2 linked regions of the Kluyveromyces lactis genome follow. The main gene of each other region encodes a partner of the protein of the gene in region 2 in a complex. Links are inferred from orthologs where the notes say so. Each region holds a gene or a part of one and is shown on either strand. Other genes may lie near its edges. The genes, in order: KGD4 and KGD1.

The links.
Region 1: KGD1 (region 2) and KGD4 share a complex: the UniProt entries of both Saccharomyces cerevisiae proteins name them as parts of the 2-oxoglutarate dehydrogenase complex. The link is inferred for Kluyveromyces lactis from reciprocal best matches to the Saccharomyces cerevisiae genes KGD1 and KGD4.

The regions. Positions count from the first base shown.
Region 1 is NC_006040.1:990,140-992,720, forward strand, and holds KGD4 (alpha-ketoglutarate dehydrogenase subunit KGD4), read right to left. Parts: upstream 961-2,581; coding exon 559-960; downstream 1-558. Other genes in the region: 3',5'-cyclic-nucleotide phosphodiesterase PDE1, read left to right, coding at 1-219; DIG1 (Dig1p), read right to left, coding at 1,608-2,581. UniProt on the Saccharomyces cerevisiae protein: Molecular adapter that is necessary to a form a stable 2-oxoglutarate dehydrogenase enzyme complex (OGDC).
Region 2 is NC_006042.1:429,849-434,422, reverse strand, and holds the start of KGD1 (alpha-ketoglutarate dehydrogenase KGD1), read left to right. Parts: upstream 1-1,637; coding exon 1,638-4,574. UniProt on the Saccharomyces cerevisiae protein: The 2-oxoglutarate dehydrogenase complex catalyzes the overall conversion of 2-oxoglutarate to succinyl-CoA and CO(2).

The sequences.
Region 1 (2,581 bases), on a different chromosome or scaffold from region 2:
ATTATATGGGAATTGAAAAGGCTAATAGAGGTATACGATGTGAAGCCAGAGAATTTTAGCTTGCATGTGATTCTAACACATGTGAAGGATATCGATTCAGAAGAGGATCCCAAAATCACTGTGTTGAAACAGGTAAATAAAAGGTGCAAACAGCAAGGATTAGACAAATATAATATCAGTTTTTCCATGGCGATCCAAGGTTTTACAATGATTCTTTGATATACAGATTAGCGTGATAATTTGAAAAAAATTCATCCTTATCCCATTGCCTGGGCAGGACCAATCACATAGACAAAAGAATGGCAAGGATGTTTGGCACCAAAAGGTTATAGATGTAATAATTAATAGGTAAAAGTAGAATTGTTGTATTAATCATAATAGATAATGGTGTTTTCTAAAAAAAAAAGAATTGTATTCGAAATGGATCGTTTGCTGTTCAATGAGTCGTAGATATTGCAGAACCAAGTGAGTTCGTACAACTATGATAAATAAATGTATTGGTATTATGTTTCTTTAACGATTATGGAAAAATGAGAGGCTGAAAAAAAGGAGATCCTATCATATACCACCTCCGTTAATGATTTCTATCTCTTGTTCGTCCATAGGTCTCAGTTTGAATCTTGGGGGTAATTGTGATATGGATCCAACTTCATTTTCTTCCAAAGGTCTGTTTTTAAACACATATTTTGGTGAATTACCAGCAGCTTTAGTAGAGGAACCCTTACCGGAAGCACTCTTATTTGAGTTCACGTATGGAACCACCTTGAATGGAAGCCATTTCTTTGCGACTTCTTCGACCGTAGAACAACCGGGAGCACCAGGCCTTAGTGAGTCAACGGTACAAGGATGTAAACCAGCATCCGCAGCAGAATGGGTCACTACAGGGTGAGGGCCGCCAACAAACTTGATTGAAGGAACATATTTGACTGCTTTAGCCAAGTTAAGAGTGGAAGCACGCATCTTTACAGGCTTTATAATCTCTTTATTCAAAGTTTCAACACCAGATCCGCGAGCCTTTTTCAATATCTGGGTCACTGATCTCGTTAATCTATCAATGAACGTCACGGTGGATTAATCACTTCTTACAGCAAGTGAATGGTCTAAATAACGATCTTGAATTGCAATACCTTCGGGAATCAAAATCGGATGTATCACAAAATGAGGAAACCTTAACACAAAAGTGGGAAAAAAACCTGGTTACTATTCTTACTTCGACTGTTCAATCAACGATTCACAAGTAACCAACAATTTTATCTGTTAATTGGCAATCTACTCAGTTACAGGAACCTTATAAACCGAGAGCCTTAATAAAACTGATAGAGAGTATGTATATATATATATACATCAAGACCGTTAAAGGTTGGCAAGCATATTGGGATACTTCGAGGAATTAATATATTACCCGGCCATTGTATCGGCCCCGATTGGGAACGCGTAGAGGACGACCGGAAATCCGATTACGTGAGCCACGTGACCACGAGTGTCACGTGACAGAGTGTCACGTCTGTCCCAACCGTTATTCATCTGGATGGTCTAGTGACGCCATGCACTCGATCAAGTTGTTTAAAGTTACAAATATGTTATATGAGGGTGGGGAAAAGGAGCGCCTATTCCCTGCTTACTACATCGTCCCATATTTTGGAACAAATGCTGAGGAAGAGCTTCTTATCCATTTGAGGGTCCGTTGAATCGAAATGGAATTGGAAATTTTCCATCATCAGTTGTATATCGCCTTCTATGACGACGTTGTTGCTATGGTCTTCGATTTCAATGGCATCAAAGAATTCTCTCTTGGTGGATTTAGGTTGTACGCTTAATGGAGCAATTCTTGTAGTTTCATCCTTGAAAACGTCCCTTGTCACTGAATTAGTGGCTCTGATAGGGTTCGACACGAATTGTTCGAAACTACGTTGGGTGTGAGGTGGTGCGGTGGTTGTAGGGTAAGCTGTCATTGGCGCATATTGATGTCTCATCAGGGGACGCGGCACGATGGGTGACGAAGTTTGAAACATCGGAATTTGGCCCGCTAAGTTTCTGGTCAAAGACCGGCCTTTATAAATGACTCTTGGTTTCGACACTCTGCTGGTTCTTTGTGAGAATGTATGTGAACTTGGAATTGGATGTCTTGTTACCATCGGTGGAGCTGACCTTATATTGGGTAATGATCCATTAGGTGTATTTTGCTTTGATTTTAACGTAAGTGGTTTTGGTATGTTATTTCTTTTCAATGATTTGGATTGACTCTTGGAAGTGTTGATTGAAGTCTCGGTACCAGGAGTGGTGGTACCATCTATCGAATTACTTGAGGATGATTTGTCAGTTTCCAGGTCTGAGGCTGTAATATTATTATTATTTTTGATGCTGGTACCAGCTTTCTCAGCAAGTTTCGTGTTTTCATCATCTTGTTCTTGTTCTTGGTCTTCATCCTGTTCATGTTCTTTTTCGTGTTCTTTCTCGTCATCTTGCTCTTCGTCTTGCTCGTTTTCTTGCTCATGCTCGTGTTCATGCTCATCCTCATTTATCGTTACAGAATCCAAATTCATACGCCTGATCTGTCTCTTCTGCTGCATCGCAATGTACT
Region 2 (4,574 bases):
ATCGGAAGAATACGATAGGGGGAAACGTTGCTAGAGCTCGATTCAATATAGAGCCACTTTACGTTTCCTCAATTCTTTTTGATGTTAAATCACTGATTCTTTTCCTTCTTAATCATAACAATTGCCTGGAGTTTTCAACTATAAAATTTCCGAAGATGAGTTGAGCCTCAAAAACCTGTAGTCTAGTGTAGCTTAACCTTGAGAGTAGTAGTATTGGAAGTATCGAACGAAGATTGATTGAAACATCTTGAACCAAGTGATAATCAAGCAATGGTCAAGTGACAGCAAAGAATTTCTCGCGACCGAGTTGGGTTGACGAATGTCCGTACACCACATACCGTCAACCGCACTCAGCCTTTGCTTACACTTTAAAACCCATCAGCCAGTCTGGCACGGAGTTGCATAGTACTTATCTGAATATGGAATACTGAAAAGAAAATGTTGAAACGTTACCCGGAATTCCGGGCTGTCCCACAAAATGAATCTGGTAGTTTCCCGTCTTCGAATCCGAAAACGGGTCACCGGACCCCTACTCGCAGACCATGCCCTACAGCTTTTACTATCTGGCATTCTCGTATTGTTGAAAACTGAGTAAGCGGCACTAAAACACTTGTTTGTTCCACCATGTAGCAAGGAAACCTTATGCAAAAACCACATAAAGCTGCTAGAGAGCTACAGGCATTAAAGGTATCAGTACCGATTCGAAGAAAGAAAGAAAATGGGAGTGAGGATCAAAACCGGGGAAATGGCACGAGAGAGATATTGGTGGTCCATTTAATAGTTGAATGAGTGCTTTTTTTTCACACAAAATCGTGAATATATATAGTGCATCTACTATTTCCTATATAAATACTGGTTCTTACTATTTTTATAGAAGAGGTATTTATTATTTTCAAGATTCAAGAGGCCTGCCTTAATACAATTAAGATAGGAGACAGAAGGAAAATAATAACGGAGTTTATTATTTGCCTGTTAAATTAAACTCGTCTAGTAAACGCAATACTCGACTCTCTGGCACTGTTTGAGTTCTGCTTACTCTAATTTAGTTTTTTTGTTGGTATTTCTGTTTTTTATCGGCTAAAAAGTATAAAAGATACAGGATTTATACATTAATTTCACTGCTTATTTAAGTGAAAGAGAACGGGAAATTAAAAAAATCGGGGGTATTTTTTCAAGATCTTCCGACAAGAAAAAAAAGATTGAAGAAGCTTTATTTCAACTTCGTGTTCGCAAGTAGGATATCTCTTTTTTTCAATTAATTAGGAACGTTAACAAAAACAGTCAATTTTGAATCGAAGTTTTTGCCTGTTGTCGTCTTAGTTTCTGACTCTACTACTATCAAGTACTTCTTCTTTTGTTCCCTTTTTTTGTGAGTAATTTTGGATTGAAAATTCACAAAGAAGAGCCATAAAAAAATAAAAACAAAAGAAGATATAAACGAGAAAGATTCATTGAAAGTTAATCATCGTTGAAAAGTTCAACATTTTGTGAATTGCAAGGGATTTTTTTACTTGATAACTGGATATATCAATTTTACAACACACGTACAGAACAAAGCGACCATCTATTGATTTAAGGTTTGTGTTTTGCTTCTTTCGTTATACAGAAAAGAACAAAAAATAACTGTCTTTTGAACAATGTTGAGAACTATAAGGTCATCTCAGCGTTTGTTACATGCTTCTAAATTCACCAGGATCGGTGCTGTAAGCAAACCGACTTCCTTGGCTGTTTTCAGTCGTGGATTGGCTAGTGGTGCATCTTCGACGGACAACTTCCTGTCCACCACCAATGCATCATATATCGATGAGATGTACGAAGCTTGGCAAAAGGATCCCACTTCAGTTCATGTCTCTTGGGATGCTTATTTCAAGAACATGGGTAATCTGAATATTCCAGCCTCTTCTGCCTTCACCGCCCCACCAACATTAATTCCAATACCAACGGGTCCTGGTGTGCCTCAAGATATATTGATAGGGGGTTCGTTAAGTGGCGTTGACCAAGACATCACAACACATTTAAAAGTGCAACTTTTGTGCCGTGCTTACCAAGTAAGAGGTCACCAGAAGGCTCATATTGATCCGTTACAAATTTCATTTGGTGATGATAAGAGTAAACCTCTACCTCGTGAGTTGACTTTGGAACACTATGGATTCACAGAAAAGGATCTAGATAGAGATATCACATTGGGACCCGGTATCTTGCCACGTTTCTCTCGTGATGGTAGAAAGACCATGAAACTAAGAGAAATTATTGCTGCTTTGGAAAAATTGTACTGTTCTGGATACGGTATCGAATACATTCATATCCCTTCAAAAGAACAATGTGAATGGTTAAGAGAAAGAATTGAAATCCCACAACCTTATAATTATACCGTAGACCAAAAGAGACAAATTTTGGATAGACTGACTTGGGCTACTTCTTTTGAAACTTTCTTATCTACTAAATTCCCTAACGATAAGAGATTCGGTTTGGAAGGTTTAGAAGGTGTTGTTCCTGGTATCAAGACCTTGATTGACCGTTCCGTTGAATTAGGTGTTGAAGATGTTGTCTTGGGTATGGCTCATCGTGGTAGATTAAACGTTTTGTCTAATGTGGTGCGTAAACCAAACGAATCCATCTTCTCAGAATTTAAGGGTTCTGTTGCTCCAGAAGAATACGAGGGTTCCGGTGATGTGAAATATCATTTGGGTATGAATTACCAAAGACCAACTACCTCTGGTAAATACGTTAACTTGTCTTTGGTTGCTAACCCATCTCATTTGGAAGCCGCTGATCCTGTTGTTTTGGGTAGAACTAGAGCCATCCAGTTCTCTAAGAACGATATTGGCAAGTATGACAAGGCCATCAGCGTCCTATTGCACGGTGATGCTGCTTTCGCTGCTCAAGGTATCGTTTACGAAACCATGGGTTTCCTACATTTGCCAGCATACTCTACTGGTGGTACCATTCACGTTATCACAAACAACCAAATCGGTTTCACTACTGATCCAAGATTCGCTAGATCAACTCTATACCCATCTGATTTGGGTAAAACCATTGATGCTCCTATCTTCCATGTAAATGCCAACGATGTTGAAGCTCTTACATTCATTTTCAACTTGGCTGCTGAATGGAGAGCTACTTTCCACACTGATGCCATTATTGACGTCGTCGGATGGAGAAAGCATGGTCATAATGAAACTGACCAACCTTCCTTCACACAACCATTAATGTACCAAAAGATTTCTAAGCAAAAATCTGTCATTGACGTTTACACGGAAAAGTTGGTATCTGAAGGTTCCTTCACCAAGCAAGATATCGATGAACATAAGAAATGGGTTTGGGGTCTATTCGAGGAAGCATATGAGAAGGCAAAGGACTATAAGCCAACTTCAAGAGAATGGTTAACTGCTGCTTGGGAAGGTTTCAAGTCTCCAAAGGCTTTAGCTACTGAAATCTTATCCCACGAACCAACCGTCGTTGATGCTGATACTTTGAAGAACATTGGTAAGACCATCTCCTCATGGCCAGAGAACTTCGAAGTTCATAAGAACTTGAAGAGAATTTTAACCAACAGAGGTAAAGCAGTTGAATCCGGTGAAGGTATTGACTGGTCTACCGGTGAAGCATTAGCTTTCGGTTCCTTAGTGTTGGAAGGTAATCACGTCAGAGTTTCTGGTGAAGATGTTGAAAGAGGTACCTTTTCACAAAGACATGCTGTTCTTCACGACCAAAAATCCGAGAATACTTACACTCCATTAAAGCACTTGTCTGAAAAACAAGCTAACTTCACCATCTGTAATTCTTCGTTGTCTGAATACGGTTGTATGGGTTTCGAGTATGGTTACTCTTTGACTAACCCAGATTATTTCGTTGTTTGGGAAGCTCAATTCGGTGATTTCGCCAACACTGCTCAAGTCATCATCGATCAATTCATTGCCGCTGGTGAAGTGAAATGGAAGCAAAGATCCGGGTTAGTCTTGTCCTTGCCTCACGGTTACGATGGTCAAGGTCCAGAGCATTCTTCAGGTAGATTGGAGAGATTCTTGCAACTAGGTAACGAAGATCCAAGATATTTCCCAAGTGAAGAAAAGTTGCAAAGACAACATCAAGATTGTAACTTCCAAATTGTTTATCCAACCACTCCAGCCAACTTATTCCACATCCTAAGAAGACAACAACATAGACAATTCCGTAAGCCACTGGCATTGTTCTTCTCTAAGCAATTGTTACGTCACCCATTGGCTAGATCCAACTTGAACGAATTCACCGAAGGTGGCTTCCAATGGATCATAGAAGATGTCGAATTAGGTAAGAGCATTGCACCAAAGGAAGAGATTAAGCGAGTTGTTTTATTGTCAGGTCAAGTTTACACTGCTTTGCATAAAAAACGTGAAACTATCCAAGACAAGAACACTGCATTCATTAAGATTGAACAACTACATCCATTCCCATACGCTCAATTGCGTGATGCCTTAAACACCTATCCAAACTTGGAAGACATCGTTTGGTGTCAAGAAGAACCATTAAACATGGGTGGATGGGCATATGCTCAACCAAGATTGCAAACTACCTTGAAGGAAACTGACAAATAC